Stegostoma tigrinum: one gene and its partners. Each later gene encodes a partner of the first gene's protein in a complex. Links are inferred from orthologs where the notes say so. Each region holds a gene or a part of one and is shown in the gene's direction. Other genes may lie near its edges.

Region 1 (6,978 bases):
TGTGGGTGTACCAGAGAGTGAAAACAGGACAGTTTCAGAAAGAAATCTTCAATACTGCCAAAAACTGAGTTTAGGGAATTCACATTTTGACTATGATGTTAAAGTAATCGTCAGTTCGGTTTGCACAATGTTTCAGTTGCTCCAAGAAGATCCCAGCCAAACAAAAACACTAAATGAATGTGCAGGAGTTTGCCAGAAGGAAACAGGTTGCAGTTGTGCCAGACTGAGCAAGAAGCTTTAGAATGGAGATCGTAGTAAACCTTTGATGGGACTTGACTTTTGTAAAAATATTGCTGCGCTAAAAAGAATAGTGAGTGTCATTACTTTTCTGGTGTTTGTAATGAAACTTTCCAACCTTTTCATCTCATTTAATGTAGTTCATATTTTTACCTGTCTAATAAATGTTTAACTCTTTGTGATAAAAATGCACTTGCAGACTCTTCTGAATGTAACTGAACTCTGCAGTTTAGAGAAAGGGTAGTGTCTATCAAACCAGGTTTCAATGTGAGATCTGACTAGTCCGGTACTAATATCAGCTGCTACAAAACACTCCATTCAACAGGTTCACGACTGATCTGATTTGACCTTAACTTTGCCTTCCTGTCTACCCATGACATCTTTTCACTTTCTTGTTAATTGATACCATAAGATATTGTCACAAAATTAGGCCATTCAGCCCATTGAGTCTTCTCCACCATTCAATCATGGCTGCTAGGTTTCCCAATTCCATTCCATTGTCTTCTCACCATAACACTTGACCCCCTTACAAATCAAGAACATATCTATCTCTGCCTTAAGTACATGCAATGACATGGCTTCCACAGCAATGTGTTCCATAGACTAACCACCGTTTGGCTGAAGAAATTCCTCCTCATCTCAGTTCTAAAGGGTCATCTCTTTACTGAGGCTGTGCCATTGGGTTCTAGTCTCTCCGACTGGTGAAAGCATCTTCACCATTTCCACTCCACCCAGGCCGCTCAGTATTCTGTAAGGAAGCTATCCAACTCAATTTTACATATACTTAATAACCCTGCTGTCTAGGCAAAACAAAATCTCCATCTCCATCTCCATCTGAGTGACAAAAATAAATGTGGAGCTAGCAAGAATCAGAAGACCTTGAGAGTTGGGGGATAAACAGGTCAGCATAACATCAAGGGCCGAAGGGCCTATACTGCGCTGTAATGTTCTATGTTCTAAATGGAGATAATTTTATTTTTAAATTCTGTCCGCTAATTCTAAATGCTCCCATGATGGTAATTGTGCCTTGAGTATCCCCAAGCACTTTATACATTTCAATTAGATTGCTTCTCACTCTTCTAAACTCAGGAGATACATGTCCAACTTTTCCTCTTTACCTTTCTTCTACCCTCACCCCAAAACCACCTGAGCTCTCCATCATCCAAGGAATCAGATGGGCATACTTTCTCTGAATTTCTTCTAATGAAATTATGTCTTTTCTTAAATAAAGAGTCCAAATCTACATAGTATTTCAGATGAGATCTCACCAATGGTCTGTACAACTAGAAAAATGTTCCTACTTTTATATTCCATTACCGTTCGACAAATAACAACATTGCCTGTCAGGATGATAGGGACAGATGACTTTTAAGAAATATTTAGATGTGTGTGACATAAAGGTTATTATGGATATGCGTCCAGTGCTGGAAAATGGGAGTATAGCAGTTAGGAAGTTGTTTTTGACTGTTTCAGACTCAATTAGTGGAAGGGCCTTTTTTTCTGTGCTGTAGGCCTCTATGACTCTGTTATGTATGTCTTCCTAATCACATGCTGTACTTGCATATAACTTTGTGATGTATGTACCGAGATACCCAGATCCCTCTGCATGATCAGTTCTGTGTTTAAATCTCCCCAGTTAATTAATGTGCTGCTTCATTATTCTTGTTGCCAAACTTGACAAATTCACATTTTTCTGCATTGCACTCCATCTACCAAAGTTTTTCTCACTCTCATTACCTATTTGTATACATTTTTAGACTCCTTATGTTCTCTTTACAACGTACTTTCCCACCTATCTTATCTCTCGGCAAGTTTAGCTGCCACGTATTCAGTCCAGTTATCCAAGGCATTGATCAAGATTGCAAATACTTGAGGCCTCAGCACTGATTTCCAAGGCACTCCATTTTTTACACAAGGTTGTGGAGCGCACACAAACTGATCGAAACTTCAGGATTTAGAAATCTGTCATATTATTTGGAAATGCTGAAGTTGTGACTTGTCACTCACTGTTCTGCCACAAGCTGATGTGTGGACACTAACCCACGTGCAAAGCTAGCAATTAACAAACCAAGTGGATGTGGTGAGAATTTCCCAATCCAAAAATAGATCTGGCCCTGAAGAGATAATGGGAACTGCAGATGCTGGAGAATTCCAAGATAATAAAATGTGAGGCTGGATGAACACAGCAGGCCAAGCAGCATCTCAGGAGCACAAAAGCTGACGTTTCGGGCCTAGACCCTTCATCAGAGAAGGGTCTAGGCCCGAAACGTCAGCTTTTGTGCTCCTGAGATCCTGCTTGGCCTGCTGTGTTCATCCAGCCTCACATTTTATTATCCTGGCCCTGAAGAAGCATTTTTGTATTTGTGGAGTGATACAAAATGTCTCTCTTATGATTAACTTAAGTTGTTTAAAACCAAGCTTTGTGAATAATTCTTTAAAAATATTTTTGTGATGTTTCAGTATGTAGCTTCACCCCATGCATACATGCTAGTCTTTAATTTGCTTTTGTCAATTTTTAAAACAGTGACTTTATGGAAGCGCTTTTCATTGATTTAGAGAATTCTTTGGCTGTTCATACAGCTTGATGACATCTCGATGCAGCTGCATAGAAGGATTCCCCAGAAAACAAGAATCAAGTACAGGGTGAGAGAGAAAAAAAGCCAGGGAGATCATTGCACCTCCAGTGCATCTATGCTTCAGCACTGTGCAAAATTCAGACCATTGTAAAACACTGCATTTATGCTAATTCTCATTTGCAGTAGGTATTATACATTTTGATAAACCAAAGCTAAATCTTGGTGAACTTCAAAAAGACAAAGCTGCGCCACTACAGGGTGCAGTATAAATTTGTGATTCTATTTGATGCCAAGTTTCTGATCTTAAATATAATGATTTCAGGAGGTACCAAAACAGAAATCAAGCCTTCTCCCCACAGGAAGAGTAAGAAAATCAAATAAATAAAACGCTCACATTGCTTGCCTGCATCTATTAATTAATGGTCATGTGCAGCCCCATGGATTGAAATCTCTTAGGTCAGTGGTAATGTCCCTATCTCTGGACTTGAAGGTTTAGGTTCAAGTCCCAGCTGCCAATGAGGTGTGCTATATAAGATTTGAAGTAGTTGATGAAAAATTTGGGGAGCAGGTGTTGTAGAGGTAATGTCAGTAGCTGAACAATTCAGAGCTCCACGCTAAACCTGTGCGGACTATGTTCAAATCCCAGCACGCAAAATACTGGAAATTGTATCGCTATATCTCGGCCAAAGGACGTAAATGCAAGTTCCACCTACCGACATGCGTCGTAACATTTGCCGGAAGCACGCTCGGGGTCTTCCTAGCTCTGGGCCAGAAAATTTAGGTTCAAATCTCTGAATTGGTGGAGGTGTGTCATAACGTCTCTAAACAAAGTGATTAAACAAATGTTCTTTCTTTTAAAGCAAGTCCACGGTGTTTTGCTCAAGGAACCTTGAAATAAACACAGAAAAAAACTATTAAGACACCTTAAAACATAAGCTCGGTATTATATACATGAGATTTATTTGGATTGTGTTTGCCTGCGCAAGATGGGTCTTTAAAAAATAACTGAACAAACCGCTTTATAAATGAACGCGATCATTTTAACAACTTAAAGTAAAGCAATGCGGTAACAGCAGAAGCATACATGCGAACGGTGATACTTCACAGAGACACAAATCATGTTTAAAGTTTGTTTTCTTATCTCGCCCTGTCTGCTGTCATTAACTGCAAGCTCTCCACACCCAAAGGGTTGAGAGGAAAAGGGGCCGGTCATTCCTGGTTCCCATCGCATCCAGCCTGCCAGAATGGAGAAAAAGGTGGCCAGAGAATTCAGACGTAAGGTAGGGAGCGAGGGAAGTTGCAAAATTTAAAAACTACGCAGCTTTTCACTTATCTTGAACGTATTTCTGTTAGCGTTAGGACGTTGTTGCTGTGCTCAAAGAAGAGTTCGTAAGCTTAGGTTATGAGAGACTATGGACCCAGCTGTATCAATAACAAGTGGGGGAAGGGCATTTGTTAGTTTCCCGAAAAAATGTCTATTTCCATTCAGCTCTGTTTTCGTAGTGTTCAAACGGTGTACCTGGAGTAAAACGCCTTTAAATGTTGATATTTGTGATAAAGTTTCCGCAATGTTTCCCCTGTTCTGAGCAATCGCTCTGCCCAGGAAACGATCTCACTCAACCCTGGGAGTCGAGCGCCGTCAGAGGAGCAGGGGAACACATACTTCCATAAGCTCTTGGCAGTAGATTGAACACAGTGAACCCATTGAAATGCGATATCGTAATGAAAACTATTTACAACTGCGCGAAGAAATCCAGTATTTTGCATCTAGACACATGTTAAGGCGCCTGGACTCTAACGTATATTGGGAACGTTGTACCTTAACAAAGGCATTGCCTTCCAGACTCTATATAACAAAATCGATACAATAAAATGAAGAGTATTACTGATGTCGCAATCAAACTTAATAGTAAATTAGTTTTTATTTCTCTTCATGCTATTTCCAAAGAAGCTAACAATCTTCATTGAACCCCGTATAATGCGGCGATCATACAGTTCTCAATAAATAGAGGTTTTTTTTTCCTGGCAGAATCCATATTTCCAACCAAGTGGGTTTAGGTCAGTTCAGTTCCTGCAATAAAGTCAATTGAATGAGTGTTTTTAAAAATATAGTTTTCAATGTTGCTTTAATATTTGAGTGATTATGGATGCCTCGTCTATAATTACCTAAGCGTTATGGAGCACAAGGCATATCTCAGCATTGATGCCGCTGCAGGCTCTGTAATAAATGAGGACTTCCCAGCCAAGACAGTAAGGTCTGGGCATTCCAATAGATTCCAGTAGCACGTCCTGATTGAGGGAAGACCAAATAGATTTCCCACTCTTTATTGTTGCAAGTGTGTGTGTGTCGAGGTAGCGGAGTTAGAAACAATGTTTTGTAACACCATAAAGGCAGTACACTCATGTAATAGCACTAAACTATTTAATGTCCTTGGCATTTTGTTCTAACCCTTTGACTGTGAACAGGAAGAAAGTATGGCAAAAATATATAAAAAGCAACAACTGCCTTCATCTGCCTCCACCCTTTTCTCCAGAATTTCCTACCCAAATATCTGCATCTCCCAATCTTGCTTTACTCCTTAAGGAGTTTTCTAATTCTTTGACCAAGCATAACTGCCTTTTTTCCCCTCTTTTTCAGCTTTTTAAAAAAATTTGCTTCCACGAAGTACCTTGGGATGTTTATTATGTTGAAGAAACCAAAGATGTTGCAAATTATATTGCAGCAAGTTTTAAAATTTACGTGGGTTCCATTCCTGCCATCACCTTCTCAGCTCCTTGCTAACTTAACCATTCATTAAGTACCAACTAAATAGTGACTGATTGAAAAACCTGTCTGTTATAGAAAAGGTATGACATTGGTATCAAATTTGCTTTCACTTGACATTGACATTTGTGCACTTCATGTGATGTATCACCCTGTGAGTATTCACTCTATTGAGGTTCATTGTCCAACTCCTATGCTTCAAACATAGATCAGCAAATTCTGTACAGTGATTGCACAGCAATTTTTTTTCTAATCTTTATAGTTTGATATCTTACCATGTGGTTCATTTTACTAACACAGATTGTTAGTTCTTCGTGGTCATCTTTCTCGCAGTTCAGTGGTGAACATTGTGGTTTAATTGCTGACCATGAAATAAGAGCTGCTAACTTTGTCATTCTGCAACTCACTTTTGCATAACCTTTGAATATCGCCCTGAAATAGCAATATCATGGAATAGGATTTAAAAATTATGAAGCTGCCATGTAATCACTCAGAATACAGTGAAGTGTGCAAACTGTGATAAACATTGGAGCATAGAACAATACAGCACAGTACAGGCTCTTCAGTCCACGATGTTGTGCCAACCTGTTATCCTCCTCTAAGATCAAACTACCCTGCATGCCCTTTATTTTACTATCATCCATGTGTCTATCCAAGAGTCGCTTAAATGTCCCAAATGTATCTGGCTCCACTACTACCGCCAGCAGCACATTCTTCGCACCCAGCACTCTGTGTAAAGAACCCACCTCTGACATCTCCCCTATACGTTCCTCAAATCTCCTTAAAATTACGCCCCCTCGTAATATTCATTTCCACCCTGGGAAAAAGTCTCTGGCTATCCACTCTATCTATGCCTCTCATCATCCTGTACACCTCTATCAAGTCACCTCTCATCCTTCTTCACTCCAATGAGAAAAGCCCAAGCTCCCTCAACCTTTCATCATAAGACCTAGCCTCCAGTTCAGGTAGCATACTGGTAAATCTCCTCTGCACTGTCTCTAAAGCTTCCACATCCATCCTACGATGAGGTGACCAGAACTGAACACAACATTCCAAGTTTGGTCTAACCAGAGTTTTATAGAGCTGCAGCATAACCTGACGGCTCTTAAACTCAATTCCCCTGCCAAGAAACGCCAACACATCATATACCTTCTTTATAACCCTTTCAACTTGGGTGGCAAATTTGAGGGATCTATGGACATGGACCCCAAGATCCCTCTGTTCCTCTCCATTATCAAGAATCCTGCCATTAACCCTGTATTCTGCATTCAAATTTGACCTTCCAAACCGAATCACTTCACACTTTTCCAGTTTGAATTCCGTCTGCCATTTCTTTGCCCAGCTCTACATCCTTTCAATGTCCCATTGCAACCTACATTATGCACAACTCCACCAACCTTC
Region 2 (7,591 bases), on another chromosome or scaffold:
GTGCTGCCTCACAGCACCAGAGACCTGGGTTCAGTTCCACCCTTACATGAATATCTGTGTGGAGCTTGTACATTTTCCCTTCGTCTGCATGGATTTCTGCCAAGTGTTCTGATTTCCTCCCACAGTCCAAAGATGTGCAAGTTAGGTAGATTGGCCTTGCTAAATTATCCATAATGTTCAGGGATATGTAGATTAGGTGTGATAACAAGGTGTAGAGCTGGATGAACACAGCAGGCCAAGCAGCAGGAAAGGAGCAGGAAAGCTGACGTTTTGGGTCTAGACCCTTCTTCAGAAATCAGATTAGGTGTGTTAGCCATGAGAAATGCAGAATGATATGGTAGGAGGATGGGCCTGGAGGGATGCTCTTCAGAGGGTCGGTGTGGACTCTTTGGGCTAAATGGCCTGTTCCCACACGGTATGGATTCAATGCAACAATCCACATAGGCAACTGTGCTTTGCGACTGAAACTCTGTCCCCTTTTGCAGCAGTTACTGCTACTTTCCATAAAGTAAAAGTACTAATAAATTTAGAAGATAAACATAAGCAAATTTTTATCTTTAACACTAATTAGATCAGGTTTTCTGGCATTTTGAAGCAGACTTTTTAATATTGGCAGATATACATTACATATTTAGGCCTGAATTTCTGTTGTGGGGCAGAGAGCGCAGAGCCGGCACAATTTACAATTTCACGAACCCAGTCTAGGAGAAATTGACTTGGAAAGTGAGATTATCATTCTGGTAGGTTGGGAACATATTCTATGGGAGTTTGGCTGTGCCATCCCAGAGTGAGAGTGAAGACTGCTAGGTACAGAAGCAGAGAAGATAGAAGGGCTACCCTAGATTCATTCTTAAAATAAATAGGAACTTGAACCCCCACTGCCTCCTCCTCAACTTTTAGAAATATCTAAATTCCCATTGGTTAATGTTTAATCTCCATCCCATCATCTTGTAGTGCTGCCAGCAGTTTTCAATAATCTGATTGTCATGAACATCATGAAGTCTGTCTCCTAGTTTTCTTGGCTGTTTTGCTGTTAGGAGCATAGTTTTATCTCTCAATAAAATGTTATCAACACACAATGTCATATGATATATTAACTTTTTGAAATTTATTTGTTTATATGCTGTTTATACTGAGGATTACCACTACATTGAGGGATAGCAAGATATTCAAGTGCATATCAACACCTTTCATTCTTCCTGAAGTCACTGTTGTGCCTTAACAGAGTCATACAGCATGGAAAGTGACCTTCAGTCCAACCAGCCCGTGTCGAACATAATCCCAAACTAAGCTTGTCCCACCTGCCTGCTCCTGGCCCATATCCTCCAAATCTTTCCTATTCATATAATTCTCCAAATATCTTTTAAACATTGGAATTGTACCCACATCCCCCGCTTCCTCAGAAACTTCATTCCACATGCAAATCCCTCTCTGTGTAAATCTCTCTCCTCTCACTTCACAAATGTGCCCCTTACTCTTGAAATCCCCATCTTAGGGAAAAAGACAACTACCATTAACTCTCTCTGTGCCTCTCATTATTTTATAAATGTCTATTAGGTCATCTCTCAAACTCCTATGCTCCAGTGAAAAAAGTCCCAGCCTATCCAGCCTTTCTTTATAACCAACATGAAGCAACAGCTACTTTATTTGATATTTTCATGTAGAGGGGGCTAGTTTAGCTCAGTTGCCTTGACAGCTTTGAGAAGTAGAGAGATACCAGCTGTGTGGGTTCAGTTCCTATTCTGATTGAGGTTAGCATGTGGCATTGTTTTTTTTAACCTCTCCCTTTGCCTGAGGTCCGGTGACCCTCAGTTTAAACTACCACCATTCATTTCTCTCTAGAAAGCAGCCCTATGGTCTGGTGAGATTACGGCGACTTTACCTTTATTTCCGTGTCGATGAAGCCAGTCAGTTACAAACTCCTTCTTAATCAATTTTCCTGGAAAACTGTAAAATCAATCCATGTAAATCTCAGAAGCTGGCACAAACTGTCAGAGGTAAAGGTTGTGGTCATGGGATCAGTGATCTTATCATACAGTCATCAAATACATAGCACCAGGCTGCCCTCCTTTACTGATTCACCCAATGGAAAAGAGTTAACCAATTGTTAATTCATGAATTTTAAGATTTGGTACACATGACCATGTGCTAAATATGGAACAATCTCGGGTGAAAGTAGGATAAAAGGCAGTGAAATTTTTAGTACACTGGATGAGTACCATCTGAAGTCATGACATTATGAATATAGAAGATGAGAGCTGCTTGCCATTTTACAGAAGAACCATGTTTGTAGAATGATTTGTAACAGCAATCCTCATGTTGTGGGTAAGTAATTAATCAAAAATGACAACACAGCTAGATCCACTGTAGGACTGAGATTATTAGATCACAAGGTTTAAAGGTATTGTATGATTTCTGTTGCCAGGGTTACATTTGGTTTATGCCATCATACTGTTTGTTATCTAGCCTTCCACCATTTTATTGCACAGTAAGTGAATTCTTTAGAGCTTATAACCAGACTCAAAGTTCACATGCTATCAATTACAACAATCATCCTGAATTATTTTCTGGAAAATGTTCAGTGTGTCACTGGTGGATTCAAATAAAAAGTAAACAAATAGGTGAATATATTTGTTTTTATACGTAAAATTAAAATACTATTTATATAAAATACACCAAGGGGAACTCAGTGATTTGCTGAAAATAAAATTGCTATTAGCAGTTAAATCTTCTGGTCTGAACACCTTCAATATTCCATTTGCACCTATAATATTTACATTGTATGGTAATTGACAACAAGTGTTAACTTCCTAGTAACTGATGAATATTCACTCACATAATCTTAAATTGAAAGATTCCTGACTATAGATGTTAAGTTTACCAGTAAAAGTGCATAAATTTTCTTAACTCTGAACTCCCTAAATGCATTAGGAAGACCAACTATTTCAAATTCAGATTTGTCATAAACACCTTATATGGTTCAGCGACATTGATTGCTTTCTCAACATGTTAAAAGTGTTTTACTTTTGTGGCAATTTGGGACAGCCAAAATAAATCATGAATTTCAAAAGGTGGGTGTTTTTCGGTCCTGGAGTGATCCAGGATATAATATGCAGGAATTTCAGCACGGAGTTATTGAGCTGAAGATGGAGTGGCTAACACTGCGAGAGGGAAAGATACCCAGACACCTTTTTCCATGAGGCAGTCACATTCCTGAGGATAGGGTTTCCTGGTTTGATTAGTGATCAGGGACATAAGACCATGACTGGAAGCAAGGGCAGACGTTGGTACACACACTATACTATCACGGAGGCAGTTCTGGGATTTTGACCTAGTGACAATGAAGCAACTTTGATGTATTTCCAAATCAGGACGGTGTGTGACTTGGAGAGGAATTTGCACATGGTGGCATTCCCATACGTCGGCTGCCCTTGATCATCTAGGTGGTAGTGGTCATGGGTTTTGAAGGTGCTATTTAAGGAGCCTTGGTGAATTTCTGCAATTCATCATGTGGATGGTAGACACTGCTGTTACTGAGCATCAGCAATGGAGGGATTGAATGTTTATGGATGTGGTGCCAATCAAATGGGCTGCTTTTTATAGAGTCATAGAAAGTCATAGGGTCATACAGAATAGAAACAGGCACAGTGCCCACCGTGTCTAGGTCAACCAACAAACACCAAACTAACTAATCCCATTTACCTGCACTTGGTCTGTAGCTCACTATGCCCTGGCATATTAAGTACTCATCCAGATGCTTCTTAAATGTTGTGAGAGTGAATGCCTCCACCATCCTCTCGGGCAGCATATTCCATATTTCTGCCACCCTCTGGGTGAATTTTTAATTTCGGATTTCTAAATCACTTACTGTTCACTTTAAACTTATGCCGTCTGCTCTTCGACATATCTGCTTTGGGGAAAAAAAATCTACTTTGCTTAAGCCTCAAATAATTTTGTATACCTCAATCAGAACACTCCTCAGCCTCCTCTGCTCCAAGGAAAACAAACCCAGCCTACCCAGTCTGTCCTCATAACTGAGGCAACAGCCTGGTGAATCTCCTTGGCATCCTTCCCAGTGCAGTCAGGTCCTTCAGATAGTGTGGTGACAAAATCTGCACACAGCCTTCCACCTGTGGCCTAACTAATATTTTTTTAAAATTGGAAGAAGACTTCTTTGCTCCTATATTCCTTGCCTCAGCTAATGAAGGCAAGCAACAAATTCATAGTGGCAGAAACAGCAGAATAATCTTTCAATTACATAAGCATCTGCTTCATTACCTAGAGAATAAGGTCCTTGCCTGTACAAACCTGTTGATATATATAGATATATACAGGAAAAGTGTAAGAAATTAAATAATATAAAATATCAATGTTTTTGCTATACGTATGTTAAGATTTATGTTGATAGGTTTCAAATTTTGTCTCATGGTTTACTAACAAGTAGCCAGTTGCTTGTCAATTAATTGTTTTCTTCTCTCTGACTCATGAAGGAAGTGTTTGTACCATTGCGAACACCTTCTGTCAGTTGTGATTTGTTAATCAGTAACATTTATAACGTAGGAAGGTTTACTGCTTCAACTGTAAAACAAGTAAAAGTCCATCAGTGTCAACCAACGATGAGAGAATAGATTTCACACAAAGAAGGTTCCAGTAAAAATCGTAAGTAGTCACATCTTCTTAGAGCATACACAAATTGAAAACTTGAGTTAATTATCCTGTGATAATTTATTACTGTTCGATGCCTTAGAATTTGACACAAAAGTTTTTGAGGTAATTTGCTATCATTGGATATATTTATTTGAAAACAGTGCAATATTCTTTATTTTGGAATTCAACGTATGCTAGCGAAAATGTATTTGTATGGGGATTGTAAAGTACATCCCAAGTGAAAGATATTTACATTCATTGTCATTTATATATACTACTGGCCATTTCGCCATGACAGGAAATGATGAGTGGATTTCTTTCTACCTTAGTTTTTCACTTTGCAAACCAAGTAATGTAACTACCTCCATTATTAACACTACATATCAATCTGTGCCAAATACAGAGGAGCAGACAAACCATGGTGACACCCGCTAATACTGCGATATTTGATTTTTTAGTCGCGTGTTCATATCCACCGACTTTTATTCCTCCTTCCCGCTCTGTGAGAAAGTGCCTTTTTCATTTGGTGCCGAGGTCTTTGGTGAAATCTGAAATTGCTGTCACAACCTGAGAGCATATTTCACTGTAGCACCAAAGTGTGCTTTCAATTTCCATGCCATTTTTATAAACTGAAACTGAAAATGTACATTGGGTTTTGAAATCCACACAGCCCCCTTCATGAGATTGGGTAAAATGGCCCGTATTCTCTGGAGTTTTGAAGAATGGGAGGTGATCTAATTGAAACTTACAAAATTCTTAAAGGGATAGATGGGATAAATGCAGGTAAGATTTTTCCCCTAGTTGTGGGTCTGGAGCAAGGGTACACTATTGAACAGTAAGTGGATGCTAGTTAGGACTGAAATGAGGAGATTTTCTTTTACTTAGAGAGTTGTGAATGTCTGGAATTCATCCCTCTAGGGGGCTGTGCAAGGTAGATTTTGACAATATTTGAGGTAGAGGTTGATAAATCTTTGATTACTCATGGCGTAAAGGGTTCTGGGAATAGTGTATAAGTGAAGATGTCAAAGTTTTCAATCAGCCATAATCATGTTGAATGGTAGCACAGGCCCAGTGTGCTGGGTGCCCTACACTACTCCTATGTTGCTATGTAGACATTGTAGAAGTCATTTTATATGATCATGACCCCCAATTATTTTATAATTATGTAAATTAACTCCTACTTTTATTTTGCCTTGGAAAATGAGATCAACATGGTATAATAGCACAATTTCATCATGTTTTTGCACTTAGGACAAGAGAAAGTACAGTGGTCAGTGATCACTGTCATTTGGCCTCATAACCATTATTTTAATTCTTCTCTTTGTATACACTCTGGGCATAACTTTCCATCCTGTAACATCGAGCATATTGGATGGCATCGTATCTACCAATGCAATTACCTCATGATTATGTGAATGTAAGCTCATTCTCTGTGTAATGATGCACAAGCCTCATCGCTGTCAGTGCTGTTGCGACCTTTTGGTGTTGAAGGTTCAGGTGCCATCTTTAAATGCCAGTTGGACACCACTTAAAAAAACCGGGAAACAAGGGATTTCCAGTTAGCCTGCAGTGTGTAACCCCCCAAGCCCAGAAATGCCTGCAAGGAAGGTTCTACTGTCTCCCTGGTTTACTGATGCTACCCTGCTGCATCATCATTAGAAGGATCTTCCTGTTCCTGGTGATGGCATCAGGAATCTATCCCATCAGACACATCCTTGCAGCATGTGTCAATGCTGTTGTTCCCCACAGGAGAAACAACTTGTAGTGCAGGAAAAGGGTCAATGACTCCCTCCACAAGGGGAGAGCTGACATCATCTTTTTTCTGATAGTACACATAGAACTATCATTCAGTCAAACTGTGCCACTACACAGGCAATTCACAAATGGTCAGAGCCTGACACTTGTCCGCAGCTAGTGGAGGAAGAAATGCTCAAGGTCTCTGACGTTTGTAGAATATAAAAAAGAACAGAAGCAGTCCCTCCAACCCACAATGTCTGTGCCATTCTAAACTAATCCCATCTGTCTGTACATGGTCTTTATTCCTTAAATATTGCTATCATATCTGCTTCTACTGCCTTCTCTGGCAGAGCATTCCAGGCACTTACAACCCTCTGTGTAAAAAACTTGCCTTGCATGACTCTTTTAAACTGCTCCCCTCACTTTAAACCTATACCCTCTAGTATTTCGCATTTCCACCCTGGGAAAAATTCTCTGACTATCTGCCCTAACCAGGCCTCTCATAATTTTATATACTTCTTTGTGGAGGGCACAAAACATCACCATGATGAGGCACGCACTGTCTGTGGTATGCTGTAAGGTACTACCTGTCTGGTTCAGGCTTGGAAGCCACATATTCAGAAGGACTCAGTCTATTCTACAATAGCTCTGGTTGAAGAGTTGTATCTCCCTTGGCAACAGTCACAGGATTTCTTCAAGATGTTATCAACCAGGTACAGAGGAGATTCTATTTGCCATCCAGAAACTGTCCTTGTATGGTTTGAGGGCCTTTGAAAGATGATGGCACCAATGAGTCACCCTGGTGTGCACGTTAGGGTGGATCCCTGAATATATAACACAATCCTGCAATACCTGGAGTGTTGTGGTCACAAATAATGTGAACACTAAGGAAGTGGAATGCTTTTTTGGTTCACAACAGGGTACTCTGATTGTTCTACGGTTGCAAACAATTGCATGTTCACCCTGTGAAAAACCTGCAACAGTTGGAAAGCCAAATGATGGAGCTGTTTGACTGGTTGCATTGAGGGCGACTGAGATTAAATGGAAGGGATCTTCTTGTGAGGGGAGATTCAGTGACACCCTTGAAGCAATAATGAGTTGAGGACCCATAAAGTCCTTAGAAGCTCCAAGAAATGATATGGTGGAAAAAAAAATTCTGGCAGTTGTTGTTGTTCTGGCTACGGGGTAGGATTGCCACCCTGTCCTT
Region 3 (7,767 bases), about 12 Mb from region 1:
TTTACAGTACAGGGTCTGCAACGACATGGGAAGAATATACAAACATATAAATTAGCCCCTTCAGCTTGCTCTGCTACTTAATGTGGTCGTGGCTTTTTAGATTATAACTTCAAGTCCACATTTCCATCCATCCCTGATAGCCTTTCACCCCCTTGCTTAACAAGAAACTGTCAACTTCTGCCTTAAAAATATTCAAGGACTTCGCCTCACCACCTTTTCAAGAAGAGAATTTCAAAGAAGCACGACTCTCTGGAATTAAGTATTTTGTCTGATGTGTTGTTTTAAATAGGGAACCCTTGGCTTTAAACAATGGCTCCTGATCGAGATTCTCCTAAAAGGTATGGCAGGGCAGCTCAACCAAACAGAATGTGGTGTGTGGGGAGTTGTGGACCCATCTCACAACCCAGAGATAATGGGAACTGCAGATGCTGGAGAATCCAAGATAATAAAGTGTGAAGCTGAATGAACACAGCAGGCCAAGCAGCATCTGAGGAGCACAAAAGCTGACGTTTCGGGCCTAGACCCATCATCAGAGCTCTGATGAAGGGTCTAGGCCTGAAACGTCAGCTTCTGTGCTCCTGAGACGCTGCTTGGCCTGCTGTGTTCATCCAGCTTCACACTTTATCATCTCACGACCCAGTTGGGCTGGAAGTGACCATGATGCATAAACCTGAGCTCTGAGCATCAGAGCTGGAGCAACAGCTGGAATCACTGAGGTGCAGCAATCTACATGGACTGCGCACACACAGATGTTGTCATGCTCCAAATTAGGGATAAGGAACGTAAAAAGGCAGTTCAGGAATGACTGATACCAGCAAACCAAGAGAAACAGGAGGGTACTGCAAGAATCCCCAGTGGTCCTGCTGGCTAGCTGTTTTCTTTCTAGATATTGGAGTGTAACAAGAGTCAAGCTAATGGCACTACAGGTAGCCCAGCTCTGCACGAGTGGAGCAATCAGAGTGAAAGGGCAGTATTGAAAGGGAATTCTATGGTAAGGGAAGCAGGCAGGCATTTTTGCAGCCATTGATGTGATTCCAGGATGGTCTGTTGTGTCGTTGGTGCTATGATCAGTGATATCACAGACATTCTTCTGGGGGAGGTTGAACAGGCAGTGGTGGTATCTCCCACACTGAAACTAACAACAGAGGGAGAAAAGGGAATGCGGGCCTGCAATCATACTTTAAGGAGCCCTGTGAGAACAATCCTCTAAAGTAGCAAACTTCAGATTAGTCTCAGTCCCAAAAGCAAGTGAGTACAGAAATATGAGGATTAGGCAGGTGAATGCTGGGCTTTGAATCCCTGGGACATTGGCACTGGGCCCTGTGAAAGATGACCTCTATACAAGTCAGAAAGCTTGCACCTGAACAGAACCAGGGCTGAGTACCTTGACGCATGTTTTACTAGTGCTGTTGGGGAGATGTTAAAATAACTCAGCAAGGGTGTGGGAACCAGGACAGGCTAATAGAAAGTAATTCAAAGGAGCACAAAATTCTGGGAGAGGCAGATAGCGCAAAAATAGAGAAGAGTAAATTATAATCAGTGGAGTCAGATTGAGAGAGAAAGTAATGAAGTCTGAATACACTGCATGTATGTGAACATACAAAGCACAGTTAATAACACTGGGGAGCTACAAGGTGCAGACTGTCATGTGAAATTGTGATGCTGTGTGATAACAGAGAAGGGCAGGTCTGGGTGTTAAATATTCCTGCTTGTAAGACAGTCTGAAGAGATAGAAGAGGAAAAAAAAACAGAGGAGAGGATTAATGATGTGATAATGGGAACTGCAGATGCTGGAGAATCCAAGATAACAAAGTGTGAAGCTGGATGAACGCAGCAGGCCAAGTAGCATCTCAGGAGCACAAAAGCTGATGTTTTGGGCCTAGACTCTTCATCAGAGAGGGGGATGGGGAGAGGGTTCTGGAATAAATAGGGAGAGAGGGGGAGGTGCACCGAAGATGGAGAGAAAAGAAGATAGGTGGAGAGGAGAGTATAGGTGAGGAGGTAGGGAGGGGATAGGTCAGTCCAGGGAAGACGGGCAGGTCAAGGAGGTGGGATGAGGTTAGTAGGTAGGAAATGGAGGTGCGGCTTGAGGTGGGAGGAAGGGATGGGTGAGAGGAAGAACAGGTTAGGGAAGCGGAGAGAGGCTGGGCTGGCTTTGGGATGCAGTGGGGGGAGGGAACGAGCTGGGCTGGTTTTGTGATGCAGTTGGGGGGGTGGCGGTGGGGAAGAACTGGGCTGGTATTCCTCCGCCTCCGCCGCATCTGCTCCCAGTATGAGGCATTCCACTCCCGCACGTCCCAGATGTCTACGTTCTTCAAGGACCGCAACCTTCCCCCCGGAGTGGTCGAGAACGCCCTTGACCGCGTCTCCCGCATTTCCCGCAACACATCCCTCACACCCCGCCCCCACCACAACCACCCCCAGAGGATCCCCCTCGTTCTCACATACCACCCCACCAACCTCCAGATACAACGCATCATCCTCCGACACTTCCGCCATCTACAATCCGACCCCAGCACCCAAGGCATTTTTCCATCCCCACCCTTGTCTGCCTTCCAGAGAGACCACTCTCTCTCCGGGACTCCCTTGTCTTCTCCACACTCTCCTCCAACCCCACCACACCCAGCACCTTCCCCTGCAACCGCAGGAAGTGCTACACTTGCCCCCACACCTCCTCCCTCACCCCCATCCCAGGCCCCAAGATGACTTTCCATATTAAGCAGATGTTCACCTGCACATTTGCCAATGTGGTATTTGTATCCATTGTACTCGGTGTGGCTTCCTCTACATTGGGGAAACCAAGCGGAGGCTTGGGGACCGCTTTGCAGAACACTTCCGCTCGGTTCGCAACAAACAACTGCACCTCCCAGTCGCGAACCATTTTAACTCCCCCTCCCATTCCTCAGACAACATGTCCATCATGGGCCTCCTGCAGTGCCACAATGATGCCACCCAAAGGTTGCAGGAACAGCAACTCATATTCCGCTTGGGAACCCTGCAGCCCAATGGTATCAATGTGGACTTCACAAGCTTCAAAATCTCCCCTTCCCCCACTGCATCCCAAAACCAGCCCAGGTCTTCCCCTCCCGCCTCTGCATCCCAAAACAAGCCCAGCCTGTCTTCGCTTCCCTAACCTGTTCTTCCTCTCACCCATCCCTTCCTCCCACCCCAAGCCGTACCTCCATCTCCTACCTACTAACCTCATCCCACCTCCTTGACCTGTCCGTCTTTCCTGGACTGACCTATCCCCTCCCTACCTGCTCACCTATACTCTCCTCTCTACCTATCTTCTTTCCTCTCCATCTTCGGTCCGCCTCCCCCTCTCTCCCTATTTATTCCAGTTCCCTCTCCCCATCCCCCTCTCTGATGAAGGGTCTAGGCCCAAAATGTCAGCTTTTGTGCTCCTGAGATGCTGCTTGGCCTGCTGTGTTCACCCAGCTCCACACTTTGTTATCAGAGGAGAGGATTCAGAGGGTTTTAGGGTAAGGACATCATTGCAGTTCTGGAGAAAGAGATTTCAGAGAGGTCAAGGGTGGAATTAATTTAGTTAGAACTAAGGAATATAACTACATTGTTCAATGCAATCTATAGATCACCACCGCATGGGAATAGTGTACAGGAACAAATTTACAAAGAAATTCTAGCGAGGGGTCAACATCATAGCGTCATTAACTATCTGGGTATAGACTGGGATAGAAACCAAGTAAGGGGCAGCAAGAGGCAAGTGTTCCTAGATTGTGTTTAGGGGAATTAATGTGAAATCCTTCAATCACAGAGGGATACTCATGCCCCTTTAGGATGAGGCTCCCTCTCTGAGACCTGGTCATAGCTCTCCAGCCTGAGGAGTGCCACTGGGAGTTGTGAAACTGCTGGGCTAGCATTCAGTTCCCAATGATGATCACTTCTTGGAACTGGGACCAGGCTGCTGTGCCCTGGATGAGAAATGGTGAAGGCCAGGATCAGGATGTTAAGTGTAGAGTAAGCAGAGCCAGATATTACCGTGGTGATGGTGGACAAAGTCCCAAGAGTAGGCATGACTCTGGCTTACAAGTGATCTATCTTATTCACAACATCCACCAAGGGACATGAGCAAGCCTCTACCACCCTCTCCTCTGAGGCTGGTGAACTATTAGAGACAGTTGGGGGAAGTGCTTAAGAGGCAATTAATAGTATGAGTGGTGGTTGGGAAAGCTGGGGTGTGGGTGCTGGTGTCCTCCTTTAAAGTCCCACCCTTGGAAGCAATGTAATAGGCCCTTGGAGAGCAGTTGGAGACTTTGATCAGAAGCGTCTATCAGGAAATGTATTTTTCAGATCTGTCAACAGTTTGGAGAGGGTAGCATGGTGGCTCAGTGGTTAGCACTGCTGCCTCACACCACCAGAGACACAGGTTCAAGCCCATCCCCGGGTGACTGCCTACATGGGGTTTGCACGTTCTCCCTGTGTCTGTGTGGGTTTCCTCTGAGTGCTTTGATTTCTCTCCACAGTTGAAAGAAGTGCAGGCTAGGTGGATTGGCCATGCTAAGTTGCCTGTAGCATTCAGGGATGTGTAGATTAGGTGGGTTATAGGGCCTGGGTCTGAGGATCACTGTGGACCTGTAGGGCCGAAGGGCCTGGTTCCACACTGTAAGGAATCTATGAAACATTCACACCCACTTGAAGTGAGACTGTATCTCATTAGCCTTTGACGAGCAGCCAGTGGCGTGTCAGTGCAGGATGTGATCAGCTTTTATGACTTTCCATAGTGGGAATTAAACAGTGACTGGGTATGCAGAATAGCAATAAAGTAATAACGCCATGAAGCAAAGGTTGGAACAACAAGCACCAATATTTCCGTCAGTCTATTTTGATTCGGATTCCTTTCAAGCTGCTAACAGAAAGAAGCGGTTGAGGCTGGGACAGTTTCGGTTCAGTGACTTGGGCCTAGTGAGGCTTTATTTATGATTTTTGGCAAAAATCTTCAGCGTCCAAGAGAGAATGGACACAAGCCGCACGATTTGTGGCCCCCACATCTTGCTGTTCATCCTGTTCGCAGTTCTTCAGATAAATGCAACTGCTGCTGTTAATAACCACTGCTCTCCCAACAAGGGTAAGCCACACCTTTCATATTATGCATGAACAATTGTTTTGTTTGTCCCTTTTTAACTGTAAGTTTAACGTCCTTTCTATCTTTCTCTAGCTTGTTGTGTTTCAGAAAATCCCATACACGTGAAAGAGAATAACAATGCAAACCTGGTCATCAGTAATATAACAATAAGGGAACCTCCGGTTACAATATTAGATCCGTCAAAGACACCTGATGTTGCTGTCAATGGGACCACACTGGTGCTCACAAAAACAATCGATTTTGAGGTAATCTCAATGAACCAGTCGCAGGGAAACAGGAGCTCAAGATACACACAGGGAAATAGTTGTTCCAGACAGTTGGAGGGAGGCCAGAGCTCCAGTCACAGGGAGACAGGAGCTCCAGTCAGTCACAGGGAGACAGGAGCTCCAGTCAGTCACAGGGAGACAGGAGCTCCAGACAGTCACAGGGGGACAGGAGATCCAGACAGTGGCAGGGAGACAGGAGATCCATACAGACACAGGGGGACAGGAGATCCTGACAGTGACAGGGAGACAGGAGATCCATATAGACACAGGGGGACAGGAGATCCTGACAGTGACAGGGAGACAGGAGATCCATACAGACACAGGGGGACAGGAGATCCTGACAGTGACAGGGAGACAGGAGATCCAGACAGTCACAGGGGGACAGGAGATCCTGACAGTCACTGGGGACAGGAGCTCCACACAAACACAGGGAGAGACAGGAGATTCACACAGCCACAGGAAGACAGGAGCTCCACACAAACACAGGGAGAGACAGGAGATTCACACAGCCACAGGAAGACAGGAGATCCACACAGACACAGGGGTATAGTTGCATTGGCCTTGAAAGGATTTACCTGAAAGATACTCAGCTCCCAGAGTGAAATTACAAGGGACCATTACACACGTTCGGCCTCAATTCCCTGAAATTTAGAAATATTAGGGATGATTTAATCTAAATTTTGAAGATATCATAAGAAACAAAGAGGATAGCTAGACACAACAGTAGTTGTCTGGCGGGAAGAGCAGGATGCAACGATACAGTCTATAAATTAAAAGCTGAGTTTTCAGAAGTAAGCTTAAGACAAACCTTAACACTGCAAGGGTAGTAGAAGCTTGGAACTCTCTCCTGTAAGAAGCATTTGATGCTGGATCAACTATTAATTTTACATTTGAAATTGAACACTTTTTTGTCAGCTAATGATATTAAGTGATAAGTAGGCATGGAAATGGAGTTACATCATAAATCAACCATTGAATGGTAGAACAGTTTTGATGGACTAAATTGTCCCCTCTTGTACCCATGTTTCAGACCCGTTATTGTGAGCTCAGCTGGACAGCCTCTCGATGTTCCAACTTCACAAACTTTCACGTATTTCGATAAGAACACTATTCATTCTTCTAATTGACATAGAATATAGGCCCCTTCTACTAAATTTCTCCTCATATGACAGCCATCTCATTTCAGGATCAATCTCATGAAATTTTGTTGCTCTTCCTTTTTGGCAGGTTTATCCTTCCTTAGGTAAGGGGAACCAAAACTATACTTAGTACTCCAGGCTGAGTGTTACCAAGGCTCCGTGTAATATGTTGCGTGAGCAACGATCTCTGCACACAACATTGTTGCGTGAGACTGTTTGCACGATTGCTCATCATGCAGTAGGCCTTCAGCCACCATCCTCTTTTAAGGTGGGGTCTTAGAGGGCCAGCTGATCTCATACGTTAGAGGAAAACCATTGGCTGGTCTAACAAGAAGAGGCTTTTGTTTCTAACAAGTTCCCATTTATATACATTTAAACAACTATGTACAAATTACATTGATTACTGAGACGAGCAGCCATTTTCCATTATACCTCAGAGATCCTAAGCTGTACTCCCATCAGGTCCACATGACATTATCACAGAGTGGAGTCCTTAAGGCACGTCTCAGCATTAACCCTTTCAGATCCATATCCAACATAATAGCAGCAAGATTTTCTTACACCTTTACAGTAACCTCTTGTGATAAAGGCTAAAGTACGCTTTACTTCCCTCTCAGTTTTTGTTTTAAATTAGAACACGGTAAGTTCTCAACCAATGGCAATTGCTCACGGCACCATAGGGACAGGCTGTAACGTGTGAAAGAGTACCTCAAACCACTCCTTCCCAGTCAGCAATATCTCCTGTTGCTTTCCTGTCCTCCCATTTCATGCCCCATGTAAGGCATTGAATAAGTGACATAGTACTTGTGATTCAACTCACCAAGTGGTGAAAGAAACATTCGTAAGGATTTACACAAAAGCAGTGAGCTCATTTGAAAGTTCTGGGACAGGGTACTGGGGCTTATGTTTATTGGCGAAGTGCAGGAAGCAGAATGACAAATAGCTAGTCTGCTTGCTTCTTGCTCACTCGTCTCGGTGAGCCAAGTCAATGCTGTAAAAAAATACACACAAACTTTGGCCCATCCAACATTCTGAAAAATGCACTAGATGATGAAAAAAATTGCAAGCAAGTGATTTCTTTTGAAAGAAGCTCAATAGTTTTTGTTTATCTCTAAATGTTGGATAATCTTCTGATTTCCTTGTCTATCTGCTTTCTGTATTCTCTGAGACTGGCACCTGGTGCCAGAATTGTCAATCTGATGTCAGTGTGCCATATTTTATGTTTGTGGTGAGGGTAGAGTTGGGGGACACACACACA
Region 4 (6,859 bases), on another chromosome or scaffold:
CCCAGATCTCTGGTTCAGGATCTTTGACCTCCATGAGAGAGTTGCACCAGAATGTTTCCTTCAACTTCATTAATAGTTTTTGTGTGAAGGCTCTACCTGGTGTTGCAAACTCTGAAGATTGAGTTTTTGGTTGCAGAATTATGGTATGGAAGGAAGTCATTCAGCCCATGTCACACTGGCTGTATTATCAAGTTCAATGCTATCCAGTGCCAGTCTCACCCTTACCCCATATCCCCACATGCCACTCCTCTCCAAAATAATCACCCAATGCCCTCTTGAATGCCTCAATTGAATCTGCCTCTGCTACACTTCCAAGTAGTGCATTCCATTCCCTAACTATCTGGTGAAAAGGTGCTCTTTCCTCACATCCTTGCTTTTGTTTGCACGTCACTTTAAATGTATGCCCTTTTTGTTCTTGTGCTGAAATCAACTGAAAAAATCCATTTTCCCCTCAGTCCCTGTTTGCAGGATGCTGTTCATGTTGCAAAAGTAGAAATTGCTGGAAAAGCTCAGCAGGTTCGGCAGCATCTGTGGTGAGAAATCAGAGTTGCCACTTTTGGGGCTGAGTGACCCTTCCTCAGACCCTGACCCTGATTGACCATTTAAAAAGACCAGACAGAGACTGTATTTGATAGCCCCTATGTGACTTTACACAGCTCAGACTCTAATATATTACCTCCAAAGCAGTTTCTGCGAACTGACCATCAAATAGAAATTAAAAGCATAAATTGAGTTTGTAATGGGTCACTGCCATCTCACTAATGATAAAACCACATACACGTGATGCAATATTGAACTGAAACATCCATAAAATATTCCTCAACCAGAAACATTAGAGAAATCAGAGTCTGGCTCTAAGGAAGGGTCATTCAGCCCCAAAACAGCAACTCTCCACCGATACCTGCTGAGCTTTCCAGCAATTTCTGTTTTTGTCTCTGATTTACAACATCTGCAGTTAATTTCAGATTTTTTTAACTTTACCGTTTTGGGCACCACAACATTTGTCAGGCTTCTCGTACACTAACATGCCAGCCCCCAGTGCCTATACTTTGATCTATGGTGTTCCTTTCCCATTCCTGTCTCTTTAGGGGCTGTGTGGCCACCAGCCGTTTCCTGATCTTCCCCTTTCAGAATTATGCCATTCTGTTGTGCACCTCAGCTCGTGCCTCCAACTGTGTTGCTTTCTCTCTGGGTATCTTTATTGTAGTCCAACTAAGTCAAAGGAATTCACCAGCAATACAATATAGGTTTGTCTTTAATTATGCTTATACCTCCACTCTCGCATCCTTCGTCCCACTTTTAAGCAGCATTAAAAAAGTGTTGCCTCATTTCTGAATCTCTTTGAATTTTTGGTCCTTTCCAGAATTGAAGGATTTTAGGATGATTTCAGTTTTAGCTGAAATCTCGATGCCTAGTCTTGCACTTATCACCTGCTCAAGAGTATGGCAGTGCTGACCTAAATGGGTTGAATGGCCTCTTCCATTCTGTGTGATTGCCTTACTCTTAGAATCCTGGAATATACTGTTTGGCTTCAAAACGTGTCGATGCCCAAGTCTCTCTTTTTTGCTTTGTTTTTCTAAACTGCTCAGTTTTGAGTTTAATTTGGTAATCCCATGTATCCCAATGTCTCTGGTTTGGATGCATGGCATGTCTGTTTGCTGGTTGAGTTGGTGTGTTTTGTTTTTTAAATTTTTTTTTCTAGTGCTGAAGGGGGGAGGCACAGTGCCTCGGTGGTTAGCGCTGCTGCCTCACAGCATCAGGGACCCAGGTTCGATCCCAAGGTTGGAAGACTGTGTACAAACTCCACGCAGACCGTTTTCCCTGTATCTGTTGGGTTTCCTCCCACCGTCAAGAGCCATGCTGCTGAGATGGATTGGCCATGCAAAATTGGCTTTGTGTCCAGGGACGTGTGCCCTTGGGGTGGGTTAGCCATGGGAAAAGTAGGGTTACAGGAATAGGGTGGGTGGGTGTTGATGGGATCCTCTTTGGAGTGTTGGTATGCACTTGACAGACTGGCCAGCCAAATCCACGTGGTTCTGGAAGCTTTCTTGTGCGCCTCGGCCTGGCACTGTGGGTTCAGGTGGTCGCAGAGTTCTGTCACAGCAAATAAGGTCAAAACATTGGGTGTTTTCAAAGGGTCAGGTGTAATTCTTGGGGCTGAAGGGTATGGGGGAGAAAGTGGGAACAGGATTTGGATGATCACATTGGATGGCAGAACAGGCTTTTAGGGCTGAATGGCCTACTCCTCTCGCTCGCTCTCTTTTTTTGTTTTGAGTGATAAAAGTTCCTGACTTTTTCCACTGATCACAAATTTCATTTCCGCTAGTACCTTTTTTTGCAAAACATCCCAAAATGCTTCTTAGGGTCGTAACTTTTTTTGTCTGTCAGATTCTAATGCCTCCTCCTTTTTTTTTTGGAGCAGTGATAACAAGTGGCCAAATGCTTGATCAGAGGAGGGGTTTTGAAATATCTCCTCTCTTCTCCCCTGCCCCAACCAACCCATCTCCCCTTTTTTTGTTTTTTGTGTGTGGGCAAGGGTCCCAGGAGGGAATTTGAGTGCATGACATTTTACATTGGAACAGTGTAAAATCACAAGTGGCAGAATTGAAGGAATACTGATGTATGACTAGGGAGATTACAGACACTCTAACAGCAGACGGAGGGATTTCATAGAATCACTTAGTTTGTACAGTCTGGAAGCAGGCCGTTTGGCCCAGAGTCTACACCAACCCTCCTGAGGATCTGACCTGCCTACCCAATCCCTGTTATCCCACACTTCCAATGGCTAATCCACCCAGCCTGTACACCTTTGGACTGTGGGAGGAAACCCATGCAGACACCGGAGAATTGTGTGTGTGTGTTGCACTGTCGTCCCTGTGCTGTGAGGCAGCAGTGCTAACCACGGAGCCACCATGCTGCTCCAAACATCGGAATACACATTTCTGAAATTGAAGTTTGTGCTGGTGTGGTGCTGGGTGTGAACGTAGGCCATTGTGGGAGTAATGGGTGAAGGGGTCTTAGTGTTGAGTGTATGAAATGAAATTTACGCCGTCTTATGAGCGGCCTGTGGTGAGTGGACCTGGTTGAGTGGCCTATCAGTGACTCAAATTACCTCCCATTGTTTGGCTTATACCAGAGGATATCCTAGGGAAAAGGTGTCCCTCATGCCAATGTGGGGCTTGGATCAGTTTCGTGGAGGAGTTAACTCTCCATCTAAAGACCTGCGTGTGACCCAAGGCTGTGCGCCCACTTCCACTTCCTTCTGTGTTTATTGAAGAGCAGGGTGTGCCTATTCTACCTCATGTCAAAATAGTTAAAGCTTTTAATGTCTGACTGGGAATTTGTGACCGCCATTTCCAGACAGTTGATTCACAATTCCGCCCCACACCCCCCAACTTACCCCGACAGCTCAGAGCATGGCCTTTTGAGCAAAATGGCATAGTTTCTGGCCAATCCCAGAGCAGGTGGGCCTTTTGGTGTCATGTGAACAGCACTGAGAGAATTTCATCAATCGGAACTGAAGACCAGATGTACGACACAGACTTTTTTTATATATAAATGATTCACAACTGCTGTCATTAGCTATGGATGACTTCCACCTTTTCTCTTCCCCCCCCCCCCCCCGCCATGATCTTCTGTCCCTCACCCTTCCCCCTCCCAGACGGTTTCCAGGGAGGTTGTAATCACATTAATGCATGAGTGCTTACAGTATTGCACATGTCAAATGGATTAATGAATACCTGTTGTAACTCGACAGAGCCTGGCTTATAATTCACCAAGCTGTTTCTGCCAGATGACTGATATCTGGGCTCAAATTAAAAGGACAAGACCAATGTGAGAGGGTCCCACACGAAGAGACTGACCGGGTGCTGGTATTGAGGAAACATCAGTCTTATTCTGTGCAGTTTGGCTGGAGGCGCTCCAGATATGGCTGCCTTTTTTTAAAGGCAGCATAATCTCGTGAAATCTTACACCCACAATGGGGTCAGGTGTGCTCCTGTTAACGCTAGAGAGGGATTAGTTTGTGTTTCCTCACTGGCCCTATCGAGAGGTTGCTGTGTTTCTGTGCTGAGATTCTCTTTCCTCTTCCCCTGCTGTGTGGCACTGGAGTCCATGGCGACGTTAACTGCAGTTGTTGATGACAGGAACGCACTTGGGCATTGCTTAGATGTCTGAGGGCCTGCTGCATCTGCGGTTTTTGTGAGGTGAAGCTTTGAAGCCAGGACATGTACACACGCAGAGGGCTCGATGATGACTTGTATCAGAAGGACGAAGGGAAATGGGCTCTGCTGCCTAACGTCAATCTAGTGCTTAAACACCAGCACACGCTCCTCCCGGTAAGCACTCATCAAAGCTTTCTACTCCTGTCTGTTCAGATGTTATTATTATGCATCTCTGGATCAAGTATGGCTTGAACCCAGGTCTCCTGGCTCAAAGGTAGAGGCATTGCTGTGGTTGATCCCATGTATCTGCTGCCTTTGTTCTTCCAGAGAAGTGGTTGTGTTTGGGAGGTGCTGTCTGAGGAGCCTTGGTGAATTTCTGCAGTGCATCTTGATTGTACACACTGCTGCTACTAAGTGTCAGTGGCGTATGATAATGTTCCCTTTTAAGGGTGTATTTTGTCCTTTTTTTTTATATTTTGAGAGAATTTAAGACTGAAGTACACAGCTGTCTGTTTTCAATCCAATGAGCAGCTTTTGAGGCCTTGAGGTTTTTCCTTTTTTGAAAAGGTTGGAACAATAGAAGCAGCCTGAAATGGGTGGAGGTCAAGCGCTCTCAGAACCAGGATTAAGTTTTTTTGTTTGGTTTTTCAGGAGCAGTTGTTGCCAGGTTCGCTTGGGTTTAGAAGCTGCAGTACACCTCTCCCTGCTACTGCCTATATCTGTTTTTCTTTGATAGGTTTTGTTTTTCTCCCCCTCCTGGACTAGAGAATTGCATGTGAGACCATCTGTTTTACTGAGTTTGCCTTTGCTGAGCATTTTGTGATTGTCATGACATTGGAATGGTTATTGCTCGTGAAATTCCTTGAGGGTTAGCATAGATAATGCCTGAGATGTGTGCATGCATTGCATTCATGGTTACTAGGTGATTGCTTCCTCTGTCTCTCTATGCACTCCCCCTTTCACATTTTTCCCTACTTTGCCCTGCGCCTTTCCCCCTACCACTTCCTTGCATTCATCTTCTACTGCCACCTCCCCCCCCCCCCCCCCCCCGCCACCATCAGATTCATAGCCACTGTTATTTTCAATTCCAGACTCAAATTAACTTTACTTTAAATTCCATAACCTGCCATAATGCAATATTACCACTACCATAAGCTATAGAATGGCCTTGCGATCAGTCCAGCAAATACTTACCCTCAAGGGAGGCACTATCCGCTGGACTGTTAACCCAGAGATCAAGATAATGCTCTGGGGACCTGGGTTCAAATCCCACCACCTGCTGAGGCAGGATTTGAATTCATTTCAGTATCTGGCGTTGAGACTTCAATGATGACAATAGACACTGGATATATGGTCAAGGAAAAACCTATCTGGCTTATTTTTAGGGGACGTCCTTACCTGGTCTAGACTAAACGTGACTCCAGACCCACAGCAATGTGGCTGACTTTTTAACTGCCCTCCAGGCAATAAATGCTGCCTGACCAGTGACTCCCTCATCCCATGAATGAATAAAGAAATGAAGGGGTTTCAAGATGATACAGAAACTGATGGGGTGTTAAATAGTGAGGATGGTTGCCTGAGATTACTGGAGACTATAGACAGGCTAGCCAGATGAGTTGGTCAGAGACATATGGAATTCCGTCTGGATAAGTGTGAGGTGATGCACTTGAAGAACAAACAAAGCAAGAGGAAACATGAACAATTGGACCCTCGGAGTGCTTGAGGATCAGAGGGACCTTGGTGTATCTGTACACCAGGTCCCTTTTAAGGTATCAGGACAGTTAGATAAAGTGATTGTTAAAAAAAGTTTATGGGATATTTACCTTCAATAGCCAAGGGATGGAATTGAAGAGCAGGGAATTGATGCTGGAATTGTGTAAAATGTTGGTTAGGGCCTCTAGTAATATAACTACCTAGCCTGCACACTTCACTAAAGGTATAAAATTTATAATGGAGATTTAATTACAGATAAATCTTTCCCCCTCTGGTAAAAAAAACTGACAATGAGCCATCTGTCTCTCTCCCAGGGGGATTACGTCTGGCTGGATCTGAAGACTGGTCGTGAGTTTGAAGTTCCTATCGGGGCAGTAGTGAAACTCTGTGACTCTGGCCAAATTCAGGTTGTGGATGATGAAGGCAATGTGAGTATTCTGCCATTTTTGGCTAGCACTGTCATCATTCTGTCAAAGACATATAGGTGCAGGAGTAGGCCATTCGGCCCTTCAAGCCAACACCACCATTCATTATGATCATAGCTGATTATCCACAATCAGTATCCTGTTCCTGCCTTATCCCCATAACCCTTGATTCCACTATCTTTAAGAGCGCTATCCATCTCTTTCTTGAAAGCATCCAGAGAGTTGGCCTCCACTGCCTTCTGGGGCAGAGCATTCCATGTATCCACCACTCTCTGGGTGAAGAGGTTTCTCCTCAACTCTGTTCTAAATGGCCTACCCCTTATTTTTAAACCGTGTCCTCTGGTTCTGGACTCGCCCATCAGCAGAAACATGCTTCCCCCCTCCAGAGAGTCCAATCCCTTAATAATCTTGTATGTCTTGATCAGATCCCCTCTCATCCTTCTAAGCCTAGTGCATTACTGACATTATGGTGGTGCATCACTGCCAAATCTTAATAAAAAGGGGCAGAATGTTAGAATGTCCCAACAAGCCCAGTCGCTCCAATCTTTCCACATATAA

What was found.
Region 2: ush1c (region 1) and cdhr2 share a complex: the UniProt entries of both Homo sapiens proteins name them as parts of the IMAC/intermicrovillar adhesion complex. The link is inferred for Stegostoma tigrinum from reciprocal best matches to the Homo sapiens genes USH1C and CDHR2.
Region 3: ush1c (region 1) and cdhr5b share a complex: the UniProt entries of both Homo sapiens proteins name them as parts of the IMAC/intermicrovillar adhesion complex. The link is inferred for Stegostoma tigrinum from reciprocal best matches to the Homo sapiens genes USH1C and CDHR5.
Region 4: the proteins of ush1c (region 1) and myo7aa are in contact, whole or in part, in a crystal structure (PDB 5MV9), measured with the Homo sapiens proteins. The link is inferred for Stegostoma tigrinum from reciprocal best matches to the Homo sapiens genes USH1C and MYO7A. Residues at the interface, in NP_001284693.1 of Homo sapiens: Glu450, Pro456, Ile457, Val461, Val462, Ser463, Tyr466, Glu467, Lys479, Gly480, Pro522, Tyr526, Asp527, Asp528, Glu529, Leu530, Thr531, Phe532, Phe533; in NP_000251.3 of Homo sapiens: Phe1946, Val1953, Ala1976, Lys1995, Lys1996, Trp1998, Gln2017, Pro2020, Lys2021, Arg2024, Tyr2026, Ser2112, Ala2113, Phe2114, Phe2115, Glu2116, Val2117, Lys2118, Ile2128, Ser2161, Gly2163, Asn2164, Thr2165, Tyr2166, His2168, Leu2181, Glu2183, Thr2184, Ser2185, Leu2186.

Annotation. Positions count from the first base shown.
Region 1 is NC_081370.1:23,146,358-23,153,335, forward strand, and holds the start of ush1c (harmonin), read left to right. Parts: upstream 1-3,974; 5' UTR 3,975-4,057; coding exon 4,058-4,093; intron 4,094-4,332; exon of another isoform or gene 4,333-4,440; intron 4,441-6,978. UniProt on the Homo sapiens protein: Anchoring/scaffolding protein that is a part of the functional network formed by USH1C, USH1G, CDH23 and MYO7A that mediates mechanotransduction in cochlear hair cells. Required for normal development and maintenance of cochlear hair cell bundles.
Region 2 is NC_081366.1:45,702,579-45,710,169, reverse strand, and holds the start of cdhr2 (cadherin-related family member 2), read left to right. Parts: upstream 1-4,590; 5' UTR 4,591-4,659; intron 4,660-7,591. UniProt on the Homo sapiens protein: Intermicrovillar adhesion molecule that forms, via its extracellular domain, calcium-dependent heterophilic complexes with CDHR5 on adjacent microvilli. Thereby, controls the packing of microvilli at the apical membrane of epithelial cells.
Region 3 is NC_081370.1:35,281,775-35,289,541, forward strand, and holds the start of cdhr5b (cadherin-related family member 5), read left to right. Parts: upstream 1-4,764; 5' UTR 4,765-4,974; coding exon 4,975-5,086; intron 5,087-5,176; coding exon 5,177-5,349; intron 5,350-7,767. UniProt on the Homo sapiens protein: Intermicrovillar adhesion molecule that forms, via its extracellular domain, calcium-dependent heterophilic complexes with CDHR2 on adjacent microvilli. Thereby, controls the packing of microvilli at the apical membrane of epithelial cells.
Region 4 is NC_081359.1:106,243,902-106,250,760, reverse strand, and holds the start of myo7aa (myosin VIIAa), read left to right. Parts: upstream 1-3,850; 5' UTR 3,851-4,226; coding exon 4,227-4,337; intron 4,338-6,190; coding exon 6,191-6,304; intron 6,305-6,859. UniProt on the Homo sapiens protein: Myosins are actin-based motor molecules with ATPase activity. Unconventional myosins serve in intracellular movements. Their highly divergent tails bind to membranous compartments, which are then moved relative to actin filaments.